Coturnix japonica: one gene and its partners. The main gene of each other region encodes a partner of the protein of the gene in region 2 in a complex. Links are inferred from orthologs where the notes say so. Each region holds a gene or a part of one and is shown on either strand. Other genes may lie near its edges.

Evidence for each region.
Region 1: FBXL13 (region 2) and IQCG share a complex: the UniProt entries of both Homo sapiens proteins name them as parts of the nexin-dynein regulatory complex. The link is inferred for Coturnix japonica from reciprocal best matches to the Homo sapiens genes FBXL13 and DRC9.
Region 3: FBXL13 (region 2) and DRC1 share a complex: the UniProt entries of both Homo sapiens proteins name them as parts of the nexin-dynein regulatory complex. The link is inferred for Coturnix japonica from reciprocal best matches to the Homo sapiens genes FBXL13 and DRC1.
Region 4: FBXL13 (region 2) and DRC7 share a complex: the UniProt entries of both Homo sapiens proteins name them as parts of the nexin-dynein regulatory complex. The link is inferred for Coturnix japonica from reciprocal best matches to the Homo sapiens genes FBXL13 and DRC7.
Region 5: FBXL13 (region 2) and GAS8 share a complex: the UniProt entries of both Homo sapiens proteins name them as parts of the nexin-dynein regulatory complex. The link is inferred for Coturnix japonica from reciprocal best matches to the Homo sapiens genes FBXL13 and DRC4.
Region 6: FBXL13 (region 2) and IQCD share a complex: the UniProt entries of both Homo sapiens proteins name them as parts of the nexin-dynein regulatory complex. The link is inferred for Coturnix japonica from reciprocal best matches to the Homo sapiens genes FBXL13 and DRC10.
Region 7: FBXL13 (region 2) and EFCAB2 share a complex: the UniProt entries of both Homo sapiens proteins name them as parts of the nexin-dynein regulatory complex. The link is inferred for Coturnix japonica from reciprocal best matches to the Homo sapiens genes FBXL13 and DRC8.

What each region holds. Positions count from the first base shown.
Region 1 is NC_029524.1:13,170,868-13,175,147, forward strand, and holds part of IQCG (dynein regulatory complex protein 9), read right to left. Parts: intron 4,191-4,280; coding exon 3,946-4,190; intron 3,637-3,945; coding exon 3,508-3,636; intron 2,042-3,507; coding exon 1,960-2,041; intron 1-1,959. UniProt on the Homo sapiens protein: Component of the nexin-dynein regulatory complex (N-DRC), a key regulator of ciliary/flagellar motility which maintains the alignment and integrity of the distal axoneme and regulates microtubule sliding in motile axonemes.
Region 2 is NC_029516.1:11,568,491-11,572,770, forward strand, and holds part of FBXL13 (dynein regulatory complex subunit 6), read right to left. Parts: intron 2,142-4,280; coding exon 2,089-2,141; intron 744-2,088; coding exon 643-743; intron 1-642. UniProt on the Homo sapiens protein: Substrate-recognition component of the SCF (SKP1-CUL1-F-box protein)-type E3 ubiquitin ligase complex.
Region 3 is NC_029518.1:96,153,313-96,158,389, forward strand, and holds the start of DRC1 (dynein regulatory complex protein 1), read left to right. Parts: upstream 1-1,856; 5' UTR 1,857-1,900; coding exon 1,901-2,073; intron 2,074-2,475; coding exon 2,476-2,569; intron 2,570-3,096; coding exon 3,097-3,209; intron 3,210-4,244; coding exon 4,245-4,428; intron 4,429-4,870; coding exon 4,871-5,008; intron 5,009-5,077. UniProt on the Homo sapiens protein: Component of the nexin-dynein regulatory complex (N-DRC) a key regulator of ciliary/flagellar motility which maintains the alignment and integrity of the distal axoneme and regulates microtubule sliding in motile axonemes.
Region 4 is NC_029526.1:1,941,500-1,946,383, reverse strand, and holds the start of DRC7 (dynein regulatory complex subunit 7), read right to left. Parts: upstream 3,123-4,884; 5' UTR 2,678-3,122; coding exon 2,373-2,677; coding exon of another isoform or gene 2,223-2,372; intron 1,975-2,222; coding exon of another isoform or gene 1,943-1,974; coding exon 1,768-1,942; intron 1,287-1,767; coding exon 1,161-1,286; intron 1,100-1,160; coding exon 887-1,099; intron 582-886; coding exon 447-581; intron 113-446; coding exon 1-112. Other genes in the region: uromodulin-like, read left to right, coding at 1,922-1,974, 2,223-2,373. UniProt on the Homo sapiens protein: Component of the nexin-dynein regulatory complex (N-DRC) a key regulator of ciliary/flagellar motility which maintains the alignment and integrity of the distal axoneme and regulates microtubule sliding in motile axonemes.
Region 5 is NC_029526.1:16,811,120-16,814,247, reverse strand, and holds part of GAS8 (dynein regulatory complex subunit 4), read right to left. Parts: intron 2,852-3,128; coding exon 2,646-2,851; intron 2,365-2,645; coding exon 2,197-2,364; intron 1,837-2,196; coding exon 1,750-1,836; intron 827-1,749; coding exon 617-826; intron 1-616. UniProt on the Homo sapiens protein: Component of the nexin-dynein regulatory complex (N-DRC), a key regulator of ciliary/flagellar motility which maintains the alignment and integrity of the distal axoneme and regulates microtubule sliding in motile axonemes.
Region 6 is NC_029530.1:9,590,907-9,594,666, forward strand, and holds the end of IQCD (dynein regulatory complex protein 10), read right to left. Parts: intron 1,901-3,760; coding exon 1,829-1,900; intron 1,610-1,828; coding exon 1,328-1,609; 3' UTR 1,014-1,327; downstream 1-1,013. UniProt on the Homo sapiens protein: Component of the nexin-dynein regulatory complex (N-DRC), a key regulator of ciliary/flagellar motility which maintains the alignment and integrity of the distal axoneme and regulates microtubule sliding in motile axonemes.
Region 7 is NC_029518.1:31,176,036-31,180,846, reverse strand, and holds the start of EFCAB2 (dynein regulatory complex protein 8), read left to right. Parts: upstream 1-1,512; 5' UTR 1,513-1,839; coding exon 1,840-1,864; intron 1,865-2,063; exon of another isoform or gene 2,064-2,085; intron 2,086-4,811. UniProt on the Homo sapiens protein: Component of the nexin-dynein regulatory complex (N-DRC), a key regulator of ciliary/flagellar motility which maintains the alignment and integrity of the distal axoneme and regulates microtubule sliding in motile axonemes.

The DNA of each region.
Region 1 (4,280 bases), on a different chromosome or scaffold from region 2:
GCCCTGAAAGCACAGCATGCAGCCCTGAAAGCACAGCATGCAGCTCTACAGACACATCTGCCCCAGCTGCCAGAACACCCCTGTGCTGTACACCCCCCGGTGATGCTTTAGCTGAAAGGATGTCTGGGCTGACAGGTCACCCAGCCTCCCGGAGTGATGATTTGTGACGTCCATCTTCATTGCAGGAGAGTTGGACTAGATGGCATTGGATGCTTCCAGGTTTGGCTCTACTGCAGCAGCTCTGTGTCCTGCTGAGCTGCTCTGGGGGCTGACGTGGCCCCAGGACCATCACAGACCCTCTTGTATGGAGGGTAAGTATATAACCAGACTGTTCATCTCAGCAGCTTTTGAGACATCCGTGTTTTCCAAAAGGAAACAAAAGAAGTGGAAACGTTTAGCAGTTCATTTGTGTTCTATTAGGAAGAAAAAAATGAGCTGAGCCAGCTAATACAGCCTTAATTAGCATCTCATTAAGGCTGAAAATACACACAAGCAACATGCGTGAAGCAAAAACCATGTTTTTCTGGTTCCATGATGAGATTTGCTTGGTTTTGTGTTCCCAGCCACTGGACTGGAGACAACCATGTAGGCTTTTGTCTACAGGTCTGTGTATTATTCCTGTTCAGAATAGTCCAAAATCAGCAAGCTGTATTTCTGCTCCTAATTAGTTGGCGAGGTGACAAATAATTGTGTGTCTGTAAAATTGCCTATGGGGAAATCCCATATGAAGCAAATAGAAATTATTCTCCCTTGGGAGACTGAGTGAGACACCGATATTTTTGGCACAGGAGGAAAGCAGTACTTGAAAGTCGTCTCGTCTTTGATTTGTTATCAAAGCTGAAGCTATAAGGAAGCCCAGAAAATGACTTTTAAGCTGGAAACATAAAACCAGAATCCCAGATGAGCGCAGATCCCACTTGATGAGGCAGAAAGCAAGAATCACATTAGCAGAAGGTACTAAAACACACAGAGAGGAGCATGTCTTCAGCGTGGGAGCTACATGTTTGTATGACTTAGAGCTAGGAGAGCTGCAAGGCAGGACAAAGTGCCAGATTCTTTTCTTTCAAGCCTTATATAGCTCTGACCTGGCCTTTCTTCTGCTTGTATCTCATCACACACTCTTCTTCCTCACCTCAGCAGAAACAGGTTAAGCTTGCATGTTTCTGCACCGAGCTGTGTGCTTTTTTTAAGCATGCATGACCATTGAGTCTGAGCTGTCTGGTGAGCATCACGGTGACCAGGGATATGCCATTTAATTGATCTGCACTTGTGCAGCAAGTCTGATGTGTCCAGAATGCCCCAGATTTACTGTGTGTGCACAGACAATTCACACGCTGCAGACAGAAAGGCTGAAGCTTTCCACACAGATAAAGTCAATGGGGTGTGTGTAGTAACATTGATCTGCCCTTGCACAGGGCTCGTGTATTTGGGATTTTGTTGTATGTGGAAGCCTAGGAAATAGATGCAAATTACAATATTTTCCCCTGACAAAACTGCAGGTAGAAAAATAGCGTGTCCTTGTGCCAATTCTGACACTTTATTTCTTAATCCCTCACTGTCAGTCTTTCTTCTGTGCTAGGTGTCATGTCTGCATCATTAAGTATGACCGAACCTCAGATCCTGCTGTCTGCAGCTCATCTCTTCCTTCCTGGCTGCAGATGTAGCAGCACTCACTCATGTCCTTGCTTTGCAGTGTTTCTGAGGTGTTCTGACTTCCTCACAGCCTTTCACAATTATAAGCACTTTGAGTTTCTGCTTGAATAGCACTGAACAGCATTCTTAAATTCATCAATAACTACATTCAGAATGTAAGTCTGTGCTGCAGTTATACTATGTTCTTAAATGATGGATTGCTACATATGCTGTGTCCTCTCATCTGAGCACTAGTTCCTGGGCAGCAGGAGCAAGCTTGCTAACACACTTCCCCCTGGCATGATGCCTGGTGTTAAGTAATCTCACCTGAAGTTCTATTTCAGTTTCTTTCTTGACATCTTGCAGCTGTTTCTGGAGTGACTTTATCTCCTTCTTTCCTTCCTCTTCCCTGAAGGAAAATGGGAGAATACAGTCACTTGAATGCATCTAAAAAAACACCCCATGAGCTGTGTACGTAGATAGGGAGTTTTCAGATTCTTTATACACTGCTGCACCTAGTGAACGCTGCCCCAATTAACCTGCTCATCCAGCACCTTTGTTACAGCTGAACTAAAAGAAGTGAGAAGTTTGCCCTGCTTCAGTGCAGCGTAAAAGCTTGCAGCTGCTCCCAGTGTCTGAGGAGCAGAAAAGGTATTTGTGTCTTCACTCTGAAGTTCAGTGTTGAAGGCAGCACGTCTCCAGATCAGAGGGATCTCTCAACAAAGTTAGTGACTTGGTAAGTAAATCCTGAAGGAAGAGATGTATGGATTGAATAGGGAGGATGGGAATGAAAGGGAAAGTGAACCAAAAACAGGGAGAGCCAGGCCAAAACCTACAGGGGAGTTTGACAGTTTAAAGCAAAAAGGATGAGATAATGTTGTAGGTCTCATTATTTTACTTCACTTTGAGGGCTTTTCCAAGCTTTTATGCTTATTGTTTGATCTAAAGCCAGTAAGAAGAGTTGCTGCCTGAGGCTTTGTACCCTACCCCCACTTTACAGGCAAACATGCATTTCATTTTTTAGGTACTTAGCTGGGCAACTCTGCTACAGGAGCTCCTGATAAGGAGTCTCAGCCTTACTGCAGACTGCTCTCAGACTGGTATATTGACACAAAACCAGACAAGTATATGGTATATTTAAATACAGATCAAGTTCATTCAATGAAAAGAATGTGCAGTAGAACAGATAGCACAGTGCTTAGATATGGTTGATATAATGGAATAAAAAAATGATTAAAATTTGTATGCCCCCTTTCTAACTCCAGTGTTGAACAGGGATTCCACAAGCAACAGCTGCTTTCATTTTTTGCTTTCTGACCCTTCCTTGGAGAAACAATAAATCCCTTGGTTTTAGATGCTGGAAGTGGTGGGCTTCACGTTCAAAAGACAATTGCCTCTGCCACCATCTGTGCTAACCCTGCATTGGAAAAAGGGAGCACATTAGCATTTGGGTCAAAGCAGATTCTCCTGGGCATCGTATAACCTCAAGTCCGTATGTTGCTGACCTTGGTTTGAGCAGATTATTTGCTACTCTGGCTTCCTCTGGGGACAAGGAGTTGAAGGTCAGAAAACTCCTCCATCACATTATGTTTTAATTGATATGGAGCAGAGTTTGCATCAATGCAGACACTGGTGTCCGCTGTGGTCCAAGCTCAGGCAATTCCCAAGTCAGATTAGTATTATTACAGTCAGTTATTTTCCTCTCCAAGGGCAAATGCAATTTGTGAAGTAGTCAGGATAATTCAAGCTGAAAAGGGATCCCTTCCATATCTTGATGTAGAGTTTGTTTTTGTTTTCCTTTTACATTGTATAATGAGGGAAAATGAGCTTTGGCTCTAGGTCACTAATCAGAAAAGTACAAAGCACAACTCTGACCTGATGAGGATGTCATTCAAGTTGCTTTTCTTTGCTTTCTCTCTCCCATTAGCTTCTATTAGGCTATCAAATGTTCCCGATTCCTCCATCTTCTTCATAGTGGCTGTAATTACATCACTCACATACTGCCTACCAGGGAGAAAAGGAACACAACAGTAATGTATAGGTGTACACTGATAACACGGAGTCTGGCACCTTTATCAATTATTGCCCTACTGCCATAGGGCTTCTGTGTACCCTACAGAATAACTGAGATCATGAGATCTCATGGCAAGGCCATGGTGCTCCCCTTAGATATAGCCATTCTTAGATATAGCCACAACTGGGGAACACTAGCAGTGGGAGGATGAGAAGCCTGTATTTTGCTTTGCAGAGGTAAAGTGAGAACTTTACAGCTCTGAGCATCCTGCACAGGCATCACACTTGTGCTTCACTTACCTGTCAGCCTGAATTTTTCTGAGATATTCTGCAGATGGAGCATTGGGTTTCGTGGCCCTTTTGGAAGGATGTTGGGCTCGTTTTGGATCCGCAGAGTTCCCCAGCTGCTGCTTCTGTTCAGTGCTTTTCAGAGACTTCGAGGTAACAGTTTCCCCACTCCCTTGCTTTGCAGGGGGAAGCTCTTGATACTTAATGTCCTGCACATTCTGTGTGTCTGTGATTTCTTTCATTTCCTGGCTGTTGATCTAAAAGAGAGTAAGAGAAACCTGCTTGCACATTGAGCAATAGGAATAGACTCTATGCAGCTTTATGTGGGAGGAAGAAGAATTAACAAT
Region 2 (4,280 bases):
AATTTTATTCATGGGAAAGATAAATAATGTACATCTATCTTCAAAACCTATGTACATCTTTGTGGAGGCACATCCTTGACCATCATGCTTTTTTTTTGTGATGTCAGCTTTTAGTGCATCAACCAACCTCTAATTCACCAAATCTCCATGTCTCATAGAGAGACACATTTAAACAGGAATGACAGACTTCTAACAACGTTATCTATTTGTCTTCCATACACTGATCTTCCAAGTTAGATCTTAGAATTAACTCTTCGCAGTTGGCACACAACTACTTGGCTCTCACAATAGACCCACCCACAATCTTCTTTAAAAATAAAAAAAGAATTTTTACAAACATTCCTTTGTGCAAACTTCTTGTATCATCAGGAATAGCTGGATACGCCACAGAAATTTTTTAACTACCACGTTCTCTTTCTGCAGAAATCTGTGGAATACATAGGGTAGCCTAGCATATATTTTTAATTATAATAAAACATAAAAAAAAGAAAGAAGAATTGTCATCTAAGTGAAATGTATTGAGTTTTTTGTAAGTTNACAGAATCTGATAAATCTCTTTAAAAGGGTATTTCTACAATACATGCCTCTGAGCTTACTGTATGAGTAAAACAAAGATACTGTAACATCTATTTTTAACTTTACCTTGACAAAAGTTGTAGTGTTCCATTGGTAATATTTGTATATGACAAATTTAAATAGAGAAGAGATCTGCAGCCTTCAGATATAAGTCTCATTGATTCATCCTGCATATTAATAAAAAAATCCAGATGTACATTAAAATTCTATTTGCATTAGTTTATCTTATATTTGTATGTATGTAGATTTCTCTGAAAGTAATGCCTCCTATTTCTTTCCATGGAAACTTTTACAAAGAGTGCAGTAACACTATTTGACAGAATAGATCATTTTTCAATGATCTAAGTAACAAAGGAGATTTCAAATGACTGGAAGGAAGGAAATGTCGCATTCACCTTCAGGAAGGGGAAAAAGAAGGATCCAGGAAACTCTGAGACTTTCAGCCTTACCAGACTCCCTGAGAAGTTTATTTAGCAGATCGTCCTTGAAGCCATGACCAAGCAAATGAAAGATAAACAGGTGACAGGAAACAGCCAGCAAGGATTTACTAAGCACAAAGCATTCCTCGCTGATGTAATAGTTTTCTATGATGAAATAACAAAATCTTTGGATAAGAGGAGAAAAGTAGTTTGCGTATCTTGACTACAACAAGGCCTTCAACGTAGTATCTTTTATAGCCAAATGGGTAAAATATAGGCTGGATAAGTGGATTCCAAAGTGAGTGAAAATTTGCCTGGACTGCTAGGCCAAAGAACTGTCACCGATAGTGCCATTGCTGTCTTGTGGCAAATGACATCCCTCAAGGGTCAACATGTCTTCCTCCTTGCAATTATTGTTAAGTATCTACTACCTCCAAATGTCAACAGTTCTCCAGTTTCACCAGTCCTCCGAGTTTGCCAAAATATGACACTAGGAAGTTTACAGTGGTTATGTCATTACTGTTGATTTCTTTTTTTTTCCCTCTTTTTTTTTTTTTTTTTTTTTTTCCCTCCCCCAAAAAATTCACTATGTAATGGTTGGGCCAGAAGCCACTGCCCTACAAGGTATAATTAAAATTCTAACAATATTTTGGAATAAATAGTCCAAATTCTATTACAAACTAAGCATCTGATATAACCCAGATAAGCAAGTACATTTAATACACAGGTTGCACGTTTTTTCTGCTCTTTGTAGAGACGTGCTGAAATTAATCATATCTAGGAGCTGGTTCAGGTCTATGTTATGTGAATTCACATGCGAATTGCATATAATCAGTAATTTTAAGACCATGCCAAATGAGCATTCTGAACATGACAAGAACATATTTATTCACAAGGTTCATGTAGTATAAGTTTTAGCCTCTGGATAATTGGATAGGTCAAGACAAGCAACATAATCCTGAAATAATTACCATCAAATTTTGAGGCTTGTTGAAAAGTTTCTTATTTTTTTATTCATTTGAAAAAAATACAGTGGAAGGCTGACTTGCCAGATTCATCTGTAATAGGTATGTGGATAAAGTTTGTTACTTACATTCAATCCCTGACATTCAGAGAGATTTAAATCTTGCAAATTCCTACATTCACCTAAAAAAACAAAGGCATTTTGAAGGTTAAAAGTTCAAATTCTCTGAGTACCATAGAAACTTAAGTATTTCATTACAGTTTCAGTCCATCTTGACTAATATCCTACTTGAAACTATTGCAGTATCAGATTTCTGAGAAGTAGTATACAAAGCTGAAGTTGTCCAGAGGAAAAATGTCTTCTTAACACATCATCAACTAATATCTGGCTTATGAATCAAGCTACTTTCTGTCTTACATTACCAAAGGATGAGAAAGCTCTCTAGTTAAGTAATGTAGTGTTAGGAAATGATGGAGTTAAGTTATCTAAAATGTGTCTGTTCCATCCCAATGTTACATGATGATATCATTATTTGACTATATATATGAACTATTTTTTCCTTTGACAAATAGAAGAGCAGCAACTAGACTAAATATACAAAATGCTATGCTTATCTTCTGCAGTTAGTTATAGAATTCAGGATTACTTAGTTGAGACACTCACTTCTGTGTCCCTTTAAATTTTTTGTTTATAACATCTATTTTGCAGAGATCTTTGCAATTTTGCAACTAAATAATGAAATGTGGACATTTGACACTGGGAGCAGCCCCTACCCATCCTTTCAACCACTCTCTTTGCCAAATTTTTAGCCTATTCTCAAAGGTAATTATGTAAAAATGCTTTTTGTCTTAATCTGACCTTTAAAAATAACCAATCTGACTAAACTGAAATGAAAATAAAAAGTAGGCCTGGTACACAGATCTAACATAGAAAATGCAGTGTGAAATATGTATAGAATTAAAAGAAGAACATAAAAAGCATTAAAAAGAAACACTGACATTGTAAGCCAAAAACAGATTTTCAATTCTAGTCAAGTATTAGTCCAACCAGAGGTCTGTTCTACAAGGGTAGGATCTTGAAATCCCAAGATCCCCGACAGGGTTCTGCACAACTCAAAAACATCTAAGCAGTTAAAATCATAATTAAGGATGCTAAGCCGCAGAAATGACAAACCTCTTATATGGTTCTTGCCCTAAGACTAAATGAGACAGATTTCACATGTGAACCTGTAAACGCTACTGAAAGGAGTCGCTCATTTTGATATTACAGCTGAGCATAATAGAAATCGATGGCAGAGTAATACTGGTAATAACTGCCTATTCAGATTCAGGAGATGGAAAAGAAGAACAAAGAACATTTCACAGGTAGTTATTATCTTTCATCATCAAATTCTTATCTTTTTCCAGTTCCAAGCATTCCTGGACAGAATGAATGTTGAATGTTGAAAAATGTTCAAAAATTCAAAACAACACAGAGGATCCCCGTTATGACTGATGTTATTAAAACTCAGAATCAATACACTAGTATGTAACTTCTGAAAAGTAACAAACCTCATTTTTCATGTGAAGGATAAAGTCGTTAGTGTAATGCACGCTATGAATTAACAGAAACTGAATGCCAACAGAGAACTGGCAAGTAGAGCATTAGAAATCCAATTAAGGCGTTTTCAAAGTTGATACTGACAGCAGGTCACATTAATATTAGTTTTCTTATTATAGAATCTTTCTACCAGATAAAGACAAGTTTTTTGAGACCAAAACAATGTTGCTTCAGAAACAGAACATCTGGGATACCGTCTGCATTCAAGACTTGGATCTACTACCATCTTAAGTACTAAGGTCAAAAAAGATAGAACATAACACAAAGATGTATACAGGCATACAAAAAATGAGAACACAACCCAAAACAGTGAAAAATTGGAAACCAAACAAAAAACAACAACAACAACAACAACAAACCTTTAGAGAGTGAAAATGTTTCTGAGGAAACAGCTTTGTGGCCAAAATTTTCTGAAAACAACGGCATTAAAGGCAGTGCATGGGACCACTATAGGAAATACAGGAGCAAACAAAGGCTAAACCCTTAATAATGCAATTTTGGATGTGGTTGCATTGAGTAGTTCTTATCTTCCTCTAGAAATAATCCCTGGGTAAAAGCTCCTGTCTTACCTCTCTATCCTCTGTCTTCGCAAGTGGGCAGACCTGGGAGCAGTTTGGAGGAGACCACTGTCAGGTTCCTCAGGTTCCTTTGCATCCTGCCTACCCTCAGATTGCACAATGACCTCATATGCTTTTGAAAATTACTACATTTTGGTCCTTCAT
Region 3 (5,077 bases), on a different chromosome or scaffold from region 2:
CTCTTTCTGTTAAGAGATAGGTAAAACTGCCCACCACATCCAATAAACACAAGATTCTCTGTAGCCTTCCTCTTTCTGTTAAGAGATTTACAAATCTCCTTGCTAAGCAACATCCATCCTTCCTGCACCCCTCTGTCCTTGCACACTGACTGAGCTCTTCCATTGCAGCCCACAGCCTCAACCCTGAAGTACATCCCTTCCTAATCGCCCTCGTCTCTACTGCACATGCGCAGCAACGACCTGCATCCGCAAACCTCTATGTGGGGACCAAGGAGGTAAATTCCTCCCCACTGTAAGGGTAGAGCAAGTCCGAGAGTGCCTCCTTAGACTGAATGAGTACAAGTCTATGGGGCCAGATGGCGTGCATCCCAGGGTCCTGAAGGATCACATCCGAGACAGCCAGCATGCTTCACCAGGGGAAAGGTCTGCTTAACTAATTTGTGGCCTTCTATGATGGAGTGACGGCGTTGGTGACGAAGAGAAGGCGACAATGTCATTTACCTGGACTGAGCAAGGCCTTTGACATGGTCCCCACCACATCCTCATCTCCAAATTGGAGGGAAGTGGATTTGATGGTGGACAACTAGATGGATAAGCAATGGTTGAAAGCCGCAGACAGAGGGTGTGGTCAATGGATCTATTCAGGTGGAGGCCTCAAAGGTAACGGCGTGTCCCCCAAGGGTCTGTCTTGGGCCGGTGCTCTTCAACATCTTTATTAATGAACATCGATGAGGGAATGGAGTGCACCCTCAGCAAGTTTGCTGACGACACCAAGTCGAGTGGTGCGCGTCGATACGGTGGAGGGAACAGATGCTCAGCAGAGGACCTTGACAGGCTGGAAAGCTGGGCTCGGGTGAACCTATATGAGGTTCAACACGGCAAAGTGCAAGGTTTTGCACTTGGGCCGGAAGAACCCCAGGCACCTGTACAGGCTGGGAGGAGTGGTCCTTGAGAGCAGCTCAGCTGAGAAGGACCTGGGGGATGGATGGATGAGAGACTCAACATGAGCCAGCAGTGCGCTCTGGCAGCCCGGAAAGCAAAATGGGATCCTGGGCTCCATCAGGAGAGGGTGGTCAGCAGGGATAGGGAGGTGATCGTCCCTCTCTATCTTCTCTTGTGAGGCCCATTTGGAGTACTTGTCCAGGTGTGGAGCCTCAGTACAAAAAGACATGGAGATTTGGAAAGGGGCCAGAGGAGGGACAGGAAGATGATCAGGGGGCTGAGCACCTCCCCATGAGGACAGGCTGAGGAGTTGGGTTTGTTCAGCCTGGAGAAGAGAAGGTTGCGGGGTGACCTCATTGCAGCCTTTTCAGTACCTGAAGGGAACTTACTGCCAGGAGGGGAGTAAACTCTTGGAAAGGGCTGACAATAGCAGGACACGGGGAAATGGTTTTAAGTTAAAAGAGGGAAGATTTAGGTTGGATGTTAGGGGGAAGTTCTTCACTAGGAGAGTGGTTAGGCCTGGAACAGGCTGCCCAGGAGGTTGTGGATGCCCGTCCTTGGGTGTTCAAGGCCAGGTTGGACGGGCCATGGGCAACTGATCTTTGGGGTCTGATCTATGGGGATCTATGGGGTCTATGCGGTCTCTATGGGGATCTATGGGGTCTATGCGGTCTCTATGGGGATCTATGGGGTCTATGGGGTCTATGGGGGATCTATGGGGTCTATGCGGTCTCTATGGGGTCTATGGGGTCTATGGGGTCTCTGTGGGGTTCTATGGGGTCTATGGGGTCTCTATGGGGTCTATGGGGTCTATGGGGTCTCTATGGGGATCTATGGGGTCTCTATGGGGATGCGCAGCTACTGCGCATGCGCCGCATCCTTGTTGCTAGGCAAAACAGCAGCGCCGTGCCACTACGCGTGCGCAGTAGTTGCGTCGCCAGGCAACGCGTTTTCGCATATGAGCCGCGAAGGGGGTGAGCGATCGGCGGGGTCGAGGTGGAAGGAGCCGGTATCGGCCCCTGAAACGGACCCGAACCCGGACTCGGAACCGGATCCGACCGAACCTGGCCCCGAGGAGCGGATCGCCGCTCGCCGTCTCCGCATCGCCGCCCGCCTCGAGGCCCAACGGCGGTGAGAAGAGGGGGCGGCCATTGCGAGGCCTAATCTTATGCCTGATCCCTTCTGTCCCCTATCCAGGCCCTTGCTGCCTTTGCTGCCTTGTACCCACACCCCCATGGGCCAGGCCTGTCCCCCATCCCATCAGCACTGTATGAAGGCCAGGCCTGTCCCCCATCCCATCAGCACTGTATGAAGGCCAGGCCTGTCCCCCATCCCAATGGGAATGGCCAATGGTGCTGGAATCCACCATTCTTGGATGAGTTCCTCTTCTTTTCTGCACTTCTCGGGGCACATTGAGGCTGCTGAATCATTCTCTCTATGCTGGGATGGAGTCACAAGCTTTGCAAGGTTATCTCGCAACTTTAGGGAGATAGAAGTGCAAATGATTCTGTCTTTTTTCCCTTTGCTGCCCAGGCAAGAGCTTGGAGAAGATGAGGAACCAAAGGAGGAGGATGAGGATGTGGAAGAGGAGAGAAACAGCCACAAGGAGGTGGAGGAAATCCGGCAGGTATGACAGTAAGACAGGAAGGTCCTCTTGGATCCCTAAGCTGCAGGCATTTGGCTTCATGCAGTACTCAGTGTCACCCAGCAGCCTGTATGAGAAAGGACACAGTGGCAGAAGCTCTGTAGGACCAAGTGGGAGGAGACTCATGGGCTATAGATTGAAGACAAGATTTCCCTGTAGCAAAATGCCCATGGATTGGAGGGTTCTGAGATAGGAGCTGTGCATCCAGACTCATATCCCACTGTCCAAATATAGGGGAAGCAAAACAGAAATGTGCACTGAGCACGGGCCAGTTCCTCTTTGTGCTGCTGGCCTTCAGGGCTCTCCAAGTGAAGGAGGATTCATGGGTGCACTGAGGTCTTCCCAGTGCTCCTCAAACCCTGCTAGAACATGAGAAGATGGAGCTTATGGGTCTACATAGGTTTCACAGTGTGGGGATATGATCTGGAGCCTTGACAGCATGAGAGCAGCTCCAGTATCTCTCCCTCCAGAGTTGAAGTTTACAGGTATGTGTATCATCTCCTTCACAGAAGTTGGCCAAGCTGCTCTTTGAAGGCATACGGATGGTGACAGAAATCCAGGTGGCTACTGACTTGAGGGAAACACAGAGGAGAGCAGAACAGGCAGAGCTGAAGAAACAGAGGTAAGAGACTGTGGTGTGGGTTTGCTCTGCTGGAAAGGAGAGACGCAGATGTTTGTGCAGCTCTCTGAGCACATCCCGAGATGGCTGCATTACATGCAAAGCATCCTAACTCTGAGCATCCACATACACTTAAAAGTTAGGGTTGCACTGCAGTTAATTGCCAAAGGACACCAAGAGCTCCCAGGTCCAACCTGCCACAGGTGGATCTTTACAGAGTGTTTTTAGCAGTGAGTGTAGTTATTAGCTATAGCATGAGTAGGTGCAGGGCCACCCACACCAGGCAGTTGTGTATGAGGACTGAGAAAAATGTGAGGCTGTGCTGATGTGAGGAAGTGGATATAAATGTCTTCATGGTGAGGGTGGTTAGATGCTTGCTCGGGGGCCCATCGTGATGTAGGGATATTCCAACTCAGCACTTGCCTGAATGAGGCCCTGCACCATCTGCTCTGCCTGGTTAATCCTACATTAACCAGGACCCAGTGTTTTTCTGAGGCTCTTCCAGCCTCAGTTATTCTCCAGTCTCTCTATGGCTGCCTTGGGTAACCTGTCCTGCCCCACCAGAGGGATCTCTAAGGGTCTGGCTGTTTCAGCCTTGCCTGCACAGATCAGTTGAGGAACACCGAGTCCTTTCTCTTAATTGCCTTTGGAGGGCACTGTAGGAACAGTTTGTGGGAGGCTGGCTGGAGCAAGGCATCAGTTCCTTGCTCAGAATATTTTCTATTAAGCCTATCTATAAGGATCTGGATATTTTAAGCCCATAAACAGCCCATAAGGAAGGTTTCAGAGAGGCAGTGGTGGAATGTGTGTGGGAGAAACTCAGTCCAGCTGCATGTGACAAAGGGAAAGCACTCCCTTTGATTCTCCAGGGTTGGGCTGTGTAGCTGGGAGTTGTGTCACCTCCCACCTGCTGCCTCATCTTGATGCCACTTTTCAAGCTAAGTTATTCAGGAGAATGTTCCTGTGGCTTTGTATGTGGTGTAGGCCACTGAACCACTTGTTGCCCTGCGATGGTTTACCTTCTTCTACTGCCCACAGGGTGGAGAAGCTGGAGAATGTAGCCAAGTACAGTGCTGAAAAGTTTGAGGAGATCACCTCGAAGTGGGCCTTGGCCAAAGATATGACAATCCCTCAGGATCTGTGGCAGCTGCTGAACCAACAGCAGCAGCTGTGCACGCAGCTTCTGGATGAGAAGAACAAGCTCATTGGTGAACTGCAGCAGGTAGTGTGGGAGCCATGCGGAGGTAACCAGGGAGGACTGGAGTTTTCAAGCTTTGGAGGGTGCTGTTCTAAAGCAACAGCCATCCCCCTGGCCCACCGAGGCCCCAGCACATGGCTGGGATGCATGCAGTGTCAGTTGGTCCAGGACAAGAAGGGGATTGTTTTCCTAAAGGGAAGCAAGTCTTCTCCAGAGCAGGTTCCTTGGCCCTCAGCAGCAGGAGTGGCCTATTGCAGATGTTTCACCTTCCACTCTATCTTCTTACCAGCTATGACCGACCTTTGGTGGTGATGTCTCTCCTCCCACCTTTCCTCCTAAATACCTCATGACTTGCTGGCCTTTTGTCCTTGTCACCTTTGGAAAAGGCAGGATCTGGGTCCTACATTCTCTGTTATCCCCTAGTAAAACATTCTCTCTGATTTCAGCATCTGCTGTCCTCCTCCAGGAGCTGAAAAACAAAGATGAGCAATACGTGCAAACCATTAAGAAGCAGTCAGATGACATCCACCTGCTTTTGGAGAGAATGGAGGAGCAGACCAGGATGATGTTACGAACTTACCGTCACAATATCCATCAGATTGAGGTAGCCAGTTCATTCGGTAGAAGTAGAGTTCAGGGAGAAAGACTGCAGCTGTTCCCTTCTCCATATCTG
Region 4 (4,884 bases), on a different chromosome or scaffold from region 2:
TGAAGGGATCAATGAAGAAAGTTTCGGGAACCTCTCTCTTGCCAGACAGAACCAGAACCCATGCATGGACCCGTAAGCCACACAAACGGTCACGCTTGGGCTCTTCCACTTCCTGTAGTCCAGAAGACAGAACAGAAATTACTGCTACTTTATTGACACTGTAGTCCAATCCACCAGCAATCTTTTTTTTTTTTTTTTTTCCCTGCCCAATTCTAAAGGCCTCCAAACCCCTAATGCTCCTCAGAACAGTAGTGGAGTACATGCTCAGCATATATTCCTCTGCTAGCACACACTATGTTTTCAGAAACCATGTGTTCATAGCCAGAATCTGAGCTGTACTCTACTGCGTGGAGGGTAGTGAGCTCCTTTCTAAGGTCAGCTATTACCCATGTCTCAATTCTTGCTAATGGAGTTTGAGAGTAGGGGGGTAGACCTTGCTAACTCACCATGCCTATCTCTTTTTCCTTTTTCTCAGTTTCTGCTTTCTTCTTGGCCTCCTGCTGAAGCTCAAACTTGCTGTAGACCTCTGGGAGGGGCTTAATTCTATATTTGCTAGACTTCTTCACTTCTTCTTTTGGTTTCTGCCTCCACCAAAGCAAGAAATTGCTGTTAAACCCAGCAGGAATCAAGAAAAGGGAGAAAGCATGGGCAAACTGTTGCCCTCTTTAAATGAGTAACATGATTAGAAAGCAAACAGGCAGTGTGGCTGGGCGCCCCACAGCCTGCCATCACACTCATTCTTATCGCGTGTTGGACGCACCAGAGATGCCAGCTTCATTGGCCTCCAGAGTGCTTTGTCTTTCTCACCAATGTCATAGTTTTCTTATCAGAACCAGACACCCAGGCTCCCCCCTGCCTGCTCCCTGCTCACTGCAGATCTCCTCACCTCCTGTGGCTTCCTGAGCAGTGGGCATACCTCCAGAGTTTCATCCAAGCTGCATATGCTTTGGGTGGCATACCCATTCACACAGTAGGCATCATACCCAGCTCCAATCAGCATGGAGCACAGCAGCACGCTGAAGTCAAAGCAGTTCCCTCGCTGGTACTTCAGGATGGTGGTTGGGGAATAGAGTGAACTGGGCTTGAAAGAAAGGGATATCTGTTCACAGTGCTTGTCTCTTTCTTGGCTTCTTCTGTAGGGACTGCAGCCCCTTTCTTACCGGTGTGAGAGGGCTCTTGAGGGGCTCCATAGTGAGATAGTCAGAGACGAAGCTGGCACAGCCATCCCAGTGGTACAGCTCTGTGTAAGGCAGCAAGGTTGGCCTCACTGTTGTGCTCACAAACTTCTGTAATGCAAGAAGAGGACTTTGATTAGCCAACAGATCTCTAGTGCAGTTTCCTGTCCAAAGCCATCCTCAGACAACCCCTGGATGCAGCAGTTTATATTCAGGACTTCTGTGGAGCACACCAACATACCGATGGTACACCTCATCACCATTCAGAACAGGAAATGCACGGAGTTAAGAGGGTTTGTGCCGGTAGGCACTTCTGTTTGTTTGTGCCTAAAAATTCAAGCTAATCTCAGCCACATTATAGATGTGAGCCAGATCTCTTAGTTTTCATGTGAGACAAATAGCTACTGCGCTTTCTGGCTTCTATATCCTCTGGCATCTATTTATTTCTTTATTTCAACTTGTATGACTTTTATATAATAAATGTTGAAGGAAGCTGACCTAAAGAAGCAATTCCACACAGTCAGAGGAGCAACAGGGCCATAGCTAGACAAAAAACTGTGCAGCTTGGGCCCATCTCCACACCACCCTTTACCTCCACGCCACATTCGTTGACTGGGTGCAGGAAGAGCGGCTTGCGTTCAGGGCAGAGGTGAGTGTACTGCCGTTGGTAATGGTCAGCGATGCGCAGCATCTTCTTTTCCCTTGGGGAATTCGTCTTGTAGGAGTCTGGTAACTCGGATGTGTCAATGCTGCTCCAGTCAAAATCCCTTGAGAGGCAGAAGGAGGCAGAGAAACACAGGTAATAAAGTGGGGAGCAATTTAGACAGGATGATCTGCTGTCAAGACACTGGAGGGGCTCCCTGCTGGAAAAAAATGAGGCTCAAATCCAAGAAGAGATCATTTAAAGTGGGCATAATTTTGCCATAGCCAGGCTTCTCTGGAGTGATGGCAAGCTAATGTAGACCAAGAGGACTGGGGGATGTTTATACAGTGTTCTGATACAACACTAAATGGATGGAAAATGAAGTGATTTATCTTGTCTTACAGAGATGAACAGCTCACCAGGCTTACAGAAACTCCCCACCCTGCCTTGCACAAACAAGCCTCAGCACCAGCTACAATCATGCAGCTCCCTATGGACCCCCCTGCAGGACTGTATCTGCTCATCCCAGTGACTGACACAAACGTGCAACTTACGGTACATCACTTGGAAAGCAGATTTGTTCCACAGACAGCTTTTTCTCCAGGTCGTGAAGCTCACTGCTGTCCTCCAAAGCCTTCAGCTCTTCTTCCTTTTGCTCCCCTTCTTCTTCCTTTTGCTCCCCTTCTTCTTCCTTTTGCTCCCCGTCTTCCTTTTGCTCCCCTTCTTCCTTTTGCTCCCCTTCTTCCTTTTGCTCCCCTTCTTCCTTTTGCTCCCCTTCTTCCTTTTGCTCCCCTTCTTCCTTTTGCTCCTCTTTCTTCTCCTCTACGGCCTCCATTTCGCTTCCTCTACAGAAATACATGCAACCAGTTGGGACAAGGTGTATAGCAACACCAACACCCTTGCACTTGGGGCACGATAACTCCCATTTCTGTGACTGTCAGGTGCAAGCACTGAACTTGAGTTCAGCATGGGCAGGTGGAACACAGGTCACGGGGCAGTGAGATGGGGATTTGTTTGGTGACAGCCATGGCACAGCCTCAGGCCCTGTTGTGGTCCTCCAAGGGCCCCAGCCAGGGCTGTTGGGCAGGGGGTTGTTTGTAGCTGCCTCAGCAGCAGAGCAGCCTCCAAGGCCGCAGCGCTGCTCCTATCGCCTGTTTACATTTCAGGGAGGCTGGGGGCCATCCGTTTCCCTCCCTGCGGTCAGGCTGACCCGCTGTGGAGCAGATGGGGCACGATGGACCTTGTGTCCTCCCCGCAGCCCGTTCAGCCCCGCACCTCTGTCTCCTGACACGGCTTCTCCGCCGGGCCTGGTCACCACGGCAACGCCCACGCACCCAGCAGCCTTGGCGCGGCCTGCGGCCTCCCCCGCCGCCCAGCCCCGGCCCTCCCCCGCCCTGTGGAGGCAATAGGCCCCGAGCTGCACCCCGGGTCCCGCAGCCTCCTCGGCTGCCCCAGTTCTGCTCACCGCTCACTTCAGCTCCTCCGTACGCAGCCTGGCTGTGGCAGGTGCCTCAGCAGCCCCATAGCTAATGGGCTGGGAGCTGTGGGCCTGGGCCTGGCTTTGGGCCTGGGTCTGAGCTTGGGCCTACTCTGCCCACTCCAGGCTTCAGGACTGCCCCAAAACTCATGGGTTCCAATGCTTTTACATGGCGCAGGAGGCTTGGTTTTTTAAGTGGTGGTTCTTTGGATGGACAGCTGCTAAGCACTGCTTCATTGCTGTGTTTTATCTGTGTTAAGGCAAGCCTGCCCTGCTCCCAGGGGGTGCCCACAGCACTGAAGGCTCCTGAGGATGCACCAGGACAGTGGGGTGTGCCGTGACATGCTGGGCATGCAGAGAAACCACAGTCAGATGTTTTAAATAATTTAGCTGAGTGCTTTCTTTTATGCTGCAGCAGAAACAGTGTATCAAGTAGCATCACTTTGAATGAACATTATCATTATTGTTTCACAAAGCGTGGAAGGACTGAGCTCTTATCCCCATGTCTGTCATAGCATCTCCCACCAGATCTGAGATTTCAGAAGTCACTAAAAACCAGAGCACGTATGTGTGTGCATGGGAAGCCATGTACTGAGCGCACAGTTGTTTGCCTCTGTATGTATCACTATGGTATCTGCTGCTCCTGCTGAGGCAAAGCAGGTGCCACAACAGCAGGTGGGTGCATAAAACCCTGATAAGCAGGGGATGGTGCAGAGATAGGGGTATTGCAGACGCTGCTCCTGGTTAGAGTTCCATCAGGGCTGTGATTTGGGTCAGCGTTCACCAGCCCTGAGCTAATCAGAAGGGCTGTGCTGGAGGACACACTTTCAGAGGGCCCTTTCCTCCCCGTTTGCTGCTGGCTCTTGTGCAATCGCAGAGACAGCGTGGGGGAGCGATGAGCTGCTGGGAGGTGATATAAGGGAGGCAGCCAGGAGCGTGAGAAGAACGCAGCTGGCTGCGGGTGGGCAAGTGTGGAGTGGTCTGGCAATGGTGAGTAGGATGAGAGAGGTGGGAGCTTTGTGTTGAGGATATATGCTGTCCTTGGGCTGGTGGGCAGGATGAGAGTGGTGGGAGCTTTGTGTTGAGGCTACTGCAGCCACGGGTGGCACATCTCGGAGGAGGTTTGCAGAGCTGCCCGAGGTGGTTGTGCCAAGCTGGAACAGCCCTGCATTTGCTATCAATGTGGTTCTGGCAGCAGCAGGAGCCAGATTTCCACTGAAGCTGGAGGACCATGCAGTGGGGCCATAGCCCATGCTGCAGATGGAGCTTTACATCCCCAGGGCTTTGCATCCTCCTTGCTCGGATTTCTGGTGGTTGCAGCTGCTCAGGGTAGGGCTGGGGGAATAAATAATTTGCTGCTAGACCAGAGTCTGGCAGTCCAAAGCTTTTGGCTTTGGCATTGCCCTGCTGTGGGGACATGTGCAGCCAGCATCCCCAAGTGACTCATATCCACAGTTCTGATAAGGGTCCTGGGCTTATCCAGCACCACGTCAGTAATTTCTCTAAAGAAACCTATTGTCTGACTTTATCTGTGTCTTCGTGACATAAATTTTAGTTATGTTCAAGGTTTGTTTCCTTTCTTTTAAGCC
Region 5 (3,128 bases), on a different chromosome or scaffold from region 2:
AGCTGCTGGGAACCTGTCTGTGCTGCCTCTGCAGCCAGCAAGGCCAGGAGGGGCACGGCTGAGGTTCACCAGAGGTGGCTCCCTGCACACGGAGTGCCCAGGGTCGCTGAGATGGGCCGTGCACACAGCCCACAGCTCAGCAGCACATCCTAATGCCACATGGCACCTGTCAGCACAGAGACCTGAGCAGCGCTGCCTGGGGTCATTCTCCTTGAAACAGTCTCCACCTGAGCGAGAGATCAGTGCCAAACGCCCACACGCTCCACTCTCCAGGGAGAGCCGGAGTGCCCTGCGGCACCACGCAGCCATGGGTGTGCTGGGAACAGCTGACACAACAGTCACAGCCCGGCTCTCCACATGGCGCAGCCAACAGCAGAGCAGACTGAGGTGCTTTTGCAGTGTGCTGATGCTGGGGACTGGCCACACAGCCAGGTATGTAACAGTGCAGAGAGAGGACAGGGACTGTCTCCTGCCACACAACCAGGCTCTGCCCTTACGCTGCCCATAGACCTCAGAATTTGACGACGCTCACATCTCCAAGGTTTGCATTTTCCCCAGAGCAGCCTCTGCCCTTCAAGAGGGGGAAAGGAGAGGGCCCTGCACCAGTGCACAGTACCTCCAGCTTCTGTGAGACCAAGGAAAGGGCTCCTGGATCGAGTTTGGAGGCTGCAAAGACCTCGCTGAGCTCCACTTCCTTTTTCTCCAGGACATCGAGGAGTCCTTTCAGCTTGCGTTCCAGGAGCAGGTTCTTGAACCCAGTCTTCTGCTGTACTTCATGAATGGCTTTGGTGAACTTCTGGTAGAGCTCATCTCGCTCTGCCTGCACCTGCTCCAAAACATGGCACAGCTTTACACCATCCTCAGGACCCTTTGGGATATCTTGGCTTGCTGCAGCCCCCCCCACCCCAGCACTTCCTGAGCTCCAGAAGGGAGTAAATTGGCCTTCGCTGTCCTCCCACAGAAGCAGAGACCACGCTCTGCTCAGCCTGGCCTTGACTCCATCCTCCTCTATGCTCTGTCCCAAGGCACTATTTTGGACCACAGAGGGGCCCCAGCATGCAGGGGTCTCTCCTCCCATCCTTGCAGCTGGCAGGAGTTCCTGGCTTACAGCTAGTTAATAAGTGTCCTAATTAGAATCTCTCCTCCAAAGCCTATTTCTGACTGCACTGAATATGTTCCTGCCTTAATGATGGATTGTTAACGAGGCCTCAGATCAGTGTTCATATTCCTGGGGATTTCTACGAATTGCAAATGAGCTCTGTTCTGCCTCAATGCATTTATCTGGGTTAGCTGCAAGGGAGAGGCTCAGTCTGGGAGAACTCAGTCAACAGAATATTCCTTGAAGAGGCTGCACGACAAGCAAGGAAGTGACATCCACATGCTAGCAGAATGAGGGAAATACTGTCCCCATATCTCTCTCTGCTGTAGCAGAAGCCTCTCTATGCAGCTCCACTCCTGACCCAGTGCCACAGCCTCCCACCAGCAGGCCAGGAGGGGACCATCAGCACACGCATGATTGCTCAGTGAAGTACAAGGCTGAGCCTGTCTGCTGAGCACAGGAGACGCCAAAACTGTGATAAGCCTTGTTGGAAGTAGCAGCTAATGCGCCGCTCTGGATTAGAGATTTGGAAAGCTTCCAGCTCAGTACAGCACAAAACAGCCTCTGCAAAGTCCTAGTGCCTAAACCTCTATATGGGGACAGGGTTTGGAGAGAGAAACAGGATGGCCAGACCCACCTGCAGATCTCACCTTAGAGAACCGCTGCTCCAGCACTTCATGTTCCCATTGAAGGTCTTTCAGTTCCTTCTGGTTGATTTTCAGATGGGCTTTTGTGTTCTGCAAGTAGGAGGCAACAATTACAAGACTTCTCTGGGAGATGGGTGTTCTGTGTTCTGGCAAGGGGGAGAGCAACCAGCAGAAGAAATGGGGTTGAGAGAACACAAGCTACAGCCACACCAACACCCTTCCCTCTCTGCAGCAGGGTCTGCTCTTCTTTCTTGCTGCCAGAGTTCTGGAGTCCTGTCTGAGTTCTTACACGCATCCAAATAAGCTGAAAGGGACCCCAGTGCATTTGCCCAGCAGTCTGGCCGAAGAGCTCTCAGCCGAGCGGCAGAGGTCACTGCTGAGCAATGCCAGGAAACAGCCAAAGTGACCCAGGAAAGAATAGAAAAGGGCTCAGCAGGGCTGGCAGCTCACCATCAGAGCCTCCTTGTCCTTATCGTAGTGGGCCAACTTCTTCTGCAGCTCAAACACCAGCTCCTGGGCCTGCTGCAGGGTCTCCTTCAGTTGCTTGTTCTGAAGCAAGGCATCTGCCTTCTCCTTCTCCAGTTGAGTTTCTCTCTGCTTCGCCTCCTCCACCTGTTCCTGTTTTTGGGAACACAAGTGCTAGTTCCTATAGGCAGGGTCTGCCCAGCTCCTCACAGCTTCCCAAGTCCCAACACCCTCCCAGTGCTGGCCCAGCAAGCCACATCTCTCTGTGTACAAGAACTTTGCTCATGTAATGTCGTACAACTCCCAGGAAAACAGGAGTGCCAGGACTTCCACCAGGGAACTGGCCAGATCTGGGGCAAGTTACTGGACCAGCTCCCTGGTGACACTACACAACAGGGCTGCAGCAGCGGGGTCAGAGAGCAGGCAGGCATTACCTTCAGCAAGCTGACGAGCGCCAGGTTTTGGAAGGTGACATCTTCATGGTAGTTCTTGAAGTCATGGAAGGCTTTCTCATGGTTCTTCATCAGCTCACTGATCTGGTTGTTTTTCCTCTCCTCGACTTCATGGATCTCAGTCTTTCGGCGCAGGTCAAGCTGATCCCGCAGAGCTTGCATCTTCCTGTTGTACCTGGCCTCCATCTCTGGGGAAGTGCACAGGGGGCCGAATGAGACCCTCCCACAGAACCTAGGCTCTGTTAGCAAGCAGCAGCCCAACATGTGCCACTGCAGCACTGCTCAAAGACAAGATGCTTGTTAACAGCCCCACAGCAGCTGCCACCAGCACACGGAGCAGTTACGTTGGGACCATGGAGAGCAGAGCCCAGAAATAGCATCCTGGAAACAGGGCATGGAAACGCTCCAAGGCAGCCCGTGAGAACCTGATGCGTCCCCTGAGGAGAGCACTGGAGCCAGGACTTA
Region 6 (3,760 bases), on a different chromosome or scaffold from region 2:
AATCGCATCACCGCTCGCTGAGCACCTGCACGTGCACCTCCTCCAGTTGGCATGAATGAAGGTGGAGGGCTGTTAGCCATATGGAGCAGCAATGGAAGAAGTCCATTGCAAGAGAAGAATTTCTTGTGGCTGCAAAGAAGCGAAGAAACATCCTTTGATCGTGCCTGAGTAGAGAGGAGTCTCACCTGATCCTGCCTGTCACATCCTTGAGTCCAGGCCTGAGTGATTCCAGGATGCGCTTGGCAACGTGCATAGGGCTGCACACAAGATGGCAAAAAAAAAACCACTATGATTTGTATTGAGGATAATGTCACAGTGACCCCATACTTTTAAGCAAATAAACCATCCAGGAAAATCTGGCAGGGCTGCTGTGTGATCTGCACTCAGGCCTTGAATATCTCCAGGGACTCTCGTCCTTAGCAAAACGGTCCCTTCTCTGCCTCGGTTTGCATAGAATCCATTTGCTATAGATATCCATTTATGAACAGAGGCAGAGAGGGAGCAAAGGGCTGGTGGCTGTTGGGGATTTGCAGCCAGCATCACTGCACTGTCCTGGGAAAAGAAATGAAGAAACTCCAAAGTCGGGGAATACAGAAATGTCAGCTGGAACCTGGATCCAAATGCTGGTAGTTCTGGGACTTGTTAAATGCAAAGGAGTGGAAGTGTCATACTGGTAACATTAACAGCCAGAATGAAACTCTGTAAGACACAGCACTCAGTGTAAGTGTATCCATGACCAGTTTCAGCTCAAAGGGGCAGAGAAGTGAAGAACTCTGAAGTTGCTACACGGCTACTTAAATGCATTTGACTCATACTTCTGTGAAAGGGAAAAGCTACAGTGTGCTCACAGGGCATTGAACACTTGGAGGATCCAGGGAGAAGCATTAAGTCTTAAATCTGACACTGGCGTGTCAGTTCTTTTGTGGATCAGTGGTGATCCTGCAGCTTCCTCCTGTGGAAAGGGAAACATCCTCTCAAATGCACACAAGGAGAAACCAAGCCAGACAAAGAGCTTCATCCTACCCCCAGGAATGATTTTATTCCCATCTTCAGTAACAACAGAATTGGAGAGAAAGTAGAGTTGGGTAGACCTAGTCCAGTCCCTTCACCAGGAGACCTCCTCCATCTTTTAGAGCTAGCAAAGCTAAACCTAAAACAGCAAGCCTTATCTTCATGCCAACACTCTATTTAACTATGAGAGGCAGCTCCAGCCCTGGACTGTTTGGGCCTTAATGCAAATGCTATCTCAACCCTAATGCTTTTATCTGGAAGTGCTCTGTCTCAAAGGAGTCAGTGACTTTGACAGGAGAGTAAATAGATGTTGTGATTATTTCTTTCCCTTCTTGCCTTTGCCCTTGCCCTTGCCCTTCTTCTTTTTTGGCTTGAAGGTACACCGGATCACGTAGCCTCTCCAGAAGGCCTGGATGAGGGTGGCAGCGCGGGTCATGACAGCCAATTTCTCCAAAGCTTGCTTCTTCTTCTCCTCATTTAACCTGCGCTCCTCCTCAATCTGGGTATACTCCGGGAGAAGCACAGCATGTTTCTCCATCAGCAGGGACAGCTCAGCCTTTTCTTTGGTGTAGGCAGCATGAACCTCCTCAAACTCAGCCTGCCAAGACAACAGATAAATACCAGCTACAGCAATACTGAGGGCAACCAGCAGCTTCTCTCTATACAACCCTAGGTAAGGATTCTTTTACCCTTACATCTGGATGGAGAACTGCCCCTCACATCTATGGCCTCCTGTGTGAGAGCCAAATGTCCATTTGATAGGGATGCACCTGAACATGTCAGCTCATGGGAGAGCAAAATGCTTTAGAGAGGATACCTGTTTTTCTGCCATGTCTGTGTCATATACCTCGACCCAGTTCAGAATTTCCGCCTCCATTCTGCCTTTTCTCTGAAACAAAACAAGGTAGGTTACTTGCTGGCACTTGAAGCTTGGTGATACAAAGCTAGGAGGGGTGGCTGACATACCAGAAGGCCACGCAGCCTTCAGCCAAACTTGGACAGGCTGAGAGCTGGGCAGACTGGAACCCAATGAGGTTCAACAGGGGAAAGTGCAGAATCCTACACCCAGGGAGGAATATCAGGGTGCACATCAGTACAGGTTAAGGGCTGACCTGCTGCAAAGGAACTCTGCAGAGAAGGACCTGAGAGTCCTGGTGGACAGCAGGGTGACCATGAGCCAGCAGTGTGCCCTGGGGGCCAAGAAGGCCAATGGTATCTCAGAGTACATTACAAAGAATGTAGCCATCAGGTCAAGGAAGGTTCTCCTCCCTCTGCTCTGCCCTGGGGAGGCCACATCTGGAGCAATGTGTGCAGTTCTGGGCTCACCACTTCAAGGCAGACATGGAGCTGCTGGAGAGAGTCCAGCAGAGGGACACAAAAAAAATGATGGGCAGCACAAAGCGCTGCTTTCCCTGATGTGGAAAGGCTGAGAGCCCTAGAGAAGGCTGAGAGGGGTCTTACCAATGCCTATATATATTTAAGGGGATCAAAAGGATCAAAAGTCAAGAGGATGGGGCCAGGCTCTTTTTGGTGGTGCCCAGTGACAGGACAAGGGGCAGTGGGTACAAACTGGAACATAGGAAGTTCCATCTGAACACAAGGAAAAACTTCATGACTTTGAGAGTGACAAAGCACTGGAACAAACTTCCCAGAGGTGACAGAATCTCCTCAGGAGATACTCAAATCCCACCTGGATGTTTTCCTCTGCAACCTGCTGCAGGGAACCTGCTTTAGCAGTGGGGTTGGACTAGATGATCTCCAGAGGTCCCTTCCAATCCCTATGATTCTGTGATTCTGTGTAAAATCCTGAGTTAGGAAACAGCATCATAGCTTTGAGCTCTAGCATCATCATATTTGAGTAGAACATCTCCTCCTTGTGGCAAGCTTGCTTCAGCTGACCTATATTTTGCTCCTGATTTGGGGATTCTCATGGAACAGGCCTCCGCTGCCTGAGGCCAAAAGCACCTTATTTGTTCACTAGTACAGAGCTGGATGAGGGCTGAGGATTGAAAGACATCAGAAAGGCATGTTATGTGGTAGGAAATGAAAACATCTCATGGAATGAGGCAAGTAATCAACAAACTGGGGCAACCACCCTAGAACTGAAGTAACAGAGAAATGGTAAACATGAAAGCCCTACAAATATGGAGCCTCTTAAGAGGTATTTCTAGGTGTAAGACAGTCTAGCAGCAGTCTAACCTAACAAGGTCCCTCCTGTAAATACAGCTATTTGTACTCTGTGAGAGAAAGATCAGCCAGAGCCCACCACAAGCCACATGATTTCCTGTATGACACTGGCCCACAGACTTCCAAGCCATCATAGGTCAGACAAGGCATTTCCCGTCTCTTGGCATGACAAAGACGATATTAGGCCACCCAGGGGTACAGCACATGCTAAGGAAAGGGAAAGGGGATCTCTGTGGCCAGTAAATCTCTCTGCATGAGCTGAGCAGCTCCTCACAATGATCACTGCAGCAGCCTGGCTGCCTCAGGAAAGAAAAAAAAATAGAAGAAAAAGAAAAAAGGCTGATAAAGCCACAGCATTAAAGGAGGTGCAGTTGGATGGCTCTAACTTGCATTTGATGCTTTGTCACCTGCCCAGCCTCTGCACTTTGGCTAGAGCACAACCTCCCTGTCGTGCAGCATCACAGCACTGTTTGAGGAACTTCCAGAGCTAGGTCAGGGAACAAGAGGAGGAACTGTGAGCAGGCGACTTCCCCAGCAGCACTGCAGGCTTCCTTTCTGCTGA
Region 7 (4,811 bases), on a different chromosome or scaffold from region 2:
ATGTAGTATCTGTTGCAGACTTCAGTATTTCCCCTTTCTTTCTGGATTTTACACGTTATTGTTTAACTACCATAACTCTTGGAGGAAACTGGGATAAGTGTGTGTCAGATATAGTGTGTGAGGAAAGCCAAGCCCAAATACTGCTGAGATTGATGGGAAGATGATAAAATAAAGTGGCCTGAGTGAAATGACTCTTACTATTTCATGTTCACAATGGCTCAGATCTACACAAAAACTGCTGTAGAAATACAAGAGTCTCAAATTTCCACAGCAAGCAAAATGTATTTCAAAGATGAATGTTGTCCATATTTTGGGCATGGGCTGGGCATGAAAATCTGAATGAGTGGAAAATCAGTTTTTAAAGCATTCATTAGGGGAATCTTGTGAAGACTTTGAACTAACATTCATTTTTTATAAATACATCAGCATTTGTAGAATTGCTCTGCATGTCCTGTGATGAATCAGGTGATCTGGAAAATGACACAGGGAATCTAATCCTTGGGCACAACACTGAAGAACATAAAATTTCACGCTGAGACGATGAGAGAAGTAATAAGCAAGCTCTGTGTTTGTCAAACAATGTATTTTGTTCTTCAGTTTCAAATACATCTACCACAACAGATCAACAACCAGCAAAGACGAAGGTTTTGTGTTTGGAGACATTGAAGGAACAAGAAAGGGGATTGCATCACAGTGAAAGATAATGGCCTTTCCTTCTGTTACTGTTACATTCTCTAGATTAGGCTTTTGCACTGTTATCACTCAAACTTCAGTTATCTGCTTGAGAGGAAACAAATCCACATTACCCATGTAGTCAAAACACATACTTGGAAGTACTCAGTTACTTTAATAAACTGTTCAAGTCTATAGGTAACCATTTGGAGGGATCAACTTTGTTAGAGAGCATAATCAGCTGTTTTCCCAAGAGACTAACACTGTACGCTCTGTTGGGTATATATTATACCCTATATTATACCCTCTTTACTCTGAGCTACGCACAATATAAACAGTATAAACAAATAGCGCCTACTGCGGGGAAGACAGTGCTTTGGTTCTAGGAATTTCCTTAAAACATTAGTTCCTATGAGTATATGGTTGCATCTTGTTGGTATGCTCATATTTGCATTTTCTCCACTTCCACAATCATTTGTTCAGAAGAACTGCGCATTGCAAGTACATCTGCTAAAATACACGGCTATATTTAAACTGCGTTTTATTTAATATCGCTGAGAATATTTTAGCTGTTTCAAGAGTGACGATATTTAGAATAAAATGTTCTTTCACTTTCTGAAGCTCAGATGCAGAAATCTCTGCAATTGCTGGGAAGACTTTTTTTTTTTCTGTGAACCAGCAGATTGCTGGGGCTCGTCCAAGTCTCCCTGCCAGGACAGTGGTGCTTGTGCCTGCCGATGCCACCCGTGCCAGGTGTGTCTTCAGCGGTGGGTTCTGTCACTTTGCCATGACAGGGAGTGACACCCCAAGCATTACTGGTCCCAGCTGGGAGGGAGGGTGGTGGGTTACAGCTGCAGCCTCCATGCCTGGGATCCGTGTTTGGGTGCGATGGATGTTTTGGAGCATTAGCACCCAGGACTATGGCTGTCACTCACTGCTCTTGAAACCACGCAGTGCAGTAGTTAGTGCACTCAAAAAATCACTGCACTGCTTCACTCAGCTTTTATATGCTTTTTATTTCAGCGGGCCCGGTGACTGCTTCCCAGGGCGGAGGGCTGCCAGCTCAGGCCTGGCGCTGGGGGCCAGGGGAGGCCGCGGTGGAAGGAGGGGAGCGCCCGCCGGGCCGCTGCGCCCCGCGTCGCCACGGCGACGGCTCGGGGCTCGGCCATGGCGCAGGCGGTGAGCAGTGACGGTAAGGCCGGGCACGGGGCCTGCACAGCGGCCTGCGGGACGGAGCGCGCCTGGGAGTGGGAAGCGAGGGGCCCAGCCTTGGGTGACGGCGTGGGGCGGGGCCAGCCCTCCGCCAAGGAAAAGCGATCCCGGCTGACTCTCGGGGCTCCGGGGCTTATTTTTAGAGGGAGGCGTGTTCTGCTTCAGGAAGCGCTGCCAGAAAGTGTGATTGAAAGGCGAGAGGTAACTCCTCCCGCAAGGGTGTCCCAGCGTCGTTTCCAGAAGGTTGTGCACTCTGAGCAGCTCGTAACAGTGTCGCTTCTGAGTGCCGTCCTTTGTGTAAATAAACACGAGAACGTGGTAATAAGTCACAGATTGAGAACACTGTAACTAATAAGTTATTTCGTATTAATGAGTAAAAGCACAATTTTCTGTGAAAAACCCACAACAAAAAGTTGTGGGTAATGCTGAATGAGGAGTTTTTCTGATTGCTTGATCAATAGCTTCTAATGCATTTTTTTAGTTCGAATGTAATTTTAAAGAAGTTGAAGCGCCGTCTTGCTGAAGACACACCCTTTTGTTGATTGTTTTTTAATTACTAGAGGTAGTTTATCATCCTGTAAAGAGCTGTTCCCAGGAGACCACCACAAGTTATCTGCTAGAGGGAAACTGTGCTGTCAAGAATTCCATTCCTGGCCCTTCCTGACAGATCACAGGAAGGTGGCAAGCTGGGCTTTGATTTCCTGCCTGTAGGGAGAAGACAATGACTTGTATCTCATGGATAGTGTGAAGACAAGGCATCTAGCTTCCCTTTGGACACTCATGAGAATCCTACACTTTTATTGAGCAGATGATTTCCTTAATGCCTCATAGAGGTGTCTCATCACCAAGGCAAACTAATATTCAGTGTCTCACCGAAGTGCAGAAGCATCCCATAAGAGGAGATGGCTTATCTCCATGTCAGTTGCTCTTAGACCTCCTGCAGGTAGCAGTTAGGGGGCTGATTAGAATCCTCAAATCCTGGATTCATGCAGCAATTGTGCTTCTGACAAGCATTTTACATAAACACAAACTGCAGCTTTTACTTTGTTGTGTCTCAAAGAGAAGAACAGCATTAGTTTTATTGTCGAATAATTAGTCTTTAGGGTATTCCCCTTGGTTCTTGGTAGAACTGTAGTTCCACCTGCTTTTGTGGTAAACGTTTCCCTTAGGTCCTATTATTTTCAAGTTTGTCTTCATCAAAGTTAAAATGCTTACCTTAATGTTTAACAGATATACTGGATGTACACAAGAAAAAACAGTGTAAGGCCAAGTCTTGCAGCCTCTTTTGCATGACATTGATAATGTGTTACCCTCTAGCTTACATAATTGCGAATAAAATCTTGCATGTGTGTGAGTGCTAATATCATGCCCATGATATATGGAGCTGTATGTTTTATGCATGAATTTGTATTCCTGCATTTGTGCTTTCAACGTTATTTAATTATTTTTTTTTCTTTATTCCCATCTGATTACATTACACTGCTTCATCTTTCTCTTTTGTGTATTTGTCTGTATCTTTCTTCCCATCGTTCTGTTTCTTTCCCCTTTTTTGCTACTTAATTCCATCTGTCTGTTCTTCCATTTGTTCTCAGGTACTTTCTTTATAATTTCACAGAACGTGTCAGATTTTCTAAGTTTCCATCTCTCTGATCTCAGTGCCGATGTTACTAGAACCTGAAAGTAAAATGTCAGACCAGTAGTGCCTGAAGTAAAACTAGATGGAAGACAAGACGTATTTTTCTCCAGCTGGGATTTAAGAAATTACATGGAAGTACATAAAAGAGAATGTTCAGTGTGGCTTTATCATTATGGTAATACTGTGTATGTGATCAGTATGAGAGTTTTATACACACTGTATTCTTTGTGCTAGTTAGCACATACTTAAAATACAATTAATAAGTCATGAATTTGAATCCAAAAGGAAGTAGATGAAATATTCTGAGCTCCTGTTGCACACCTTTATACCCATACAGAACTGGACGACTGATTCTGGGTAACAAAGGTCTTCCAGAAACATAACTGATTGTGATGTGAAGACTTAAGGAGATGGTTTATAGCCATTCTCTGATGAGGATTTTCTCTGGTAAATAGTAGTGATTCTGGGGAATTTAACTTACTGCTGCAGTATGTCATTAGTCCTCACAGATCCTTTTCCCAACTTGTGAAAAACTCACAATAAGGTTGTTAGTGGAGATGGGAAAGAGTTTTTACCTCTGCTCTAGAGCCTTATGAACTCTGCTGAACTCTTTCCAAGAGATCCCCGTCTTTTTTGTACTGGGGAGCCCAATACAGACACAGTACTTCAGATGTGGCCTCACCAGGGCAGAGGGGGAGGATCACCTCCCTTGACCTGTTGGCCATGCTCTTTTTAATGTACCTTTTTGGCCACTGTCGTCTACCAGGACACCCAGGTCCCTCTCAGCAGAGCTCCTCTCCAGCAGGTCATCCCCCAACCTGTTCTGGTGAATGCAATTATTTCTCCCTAGGTGCAAGACTCTACACTTGCTTTTGTTAAACCTCATCCGGTTTCTTACTGCCCAGCTCTCCAGCCTGTCCAGGTTTCGGTGAATTCTGCCCCTGTACTCAGCATTGGTGAGGCCTCACCTCGAGTACTGTGTTCAGTTTTGGGCACCTCAGTACAAAAAATACATGGAGGTACTAGAGCAGGTCCAGATAAGGGCAACGAGGCTTGTGGAGCACTTGGAAAATCAGCCCTATGAGGAGAGGCTGAGGGAGCTGGGGCTGTTCAGTCTGGGGAAAAGGAGGCTGAGGGGAGACCTTATTGCTCTCTTCCAGTATCTGAAAGGTTCCTACAGTGAGAGAGGGGCAAGTCTCTTCTTACTGGTGACAAGTGACAGGATGAGGGGAAATGGCCTCAAGTTGTGCCAAGGTAAGTTTAGGTTGGACATTAGGAAACACTTCTTTTT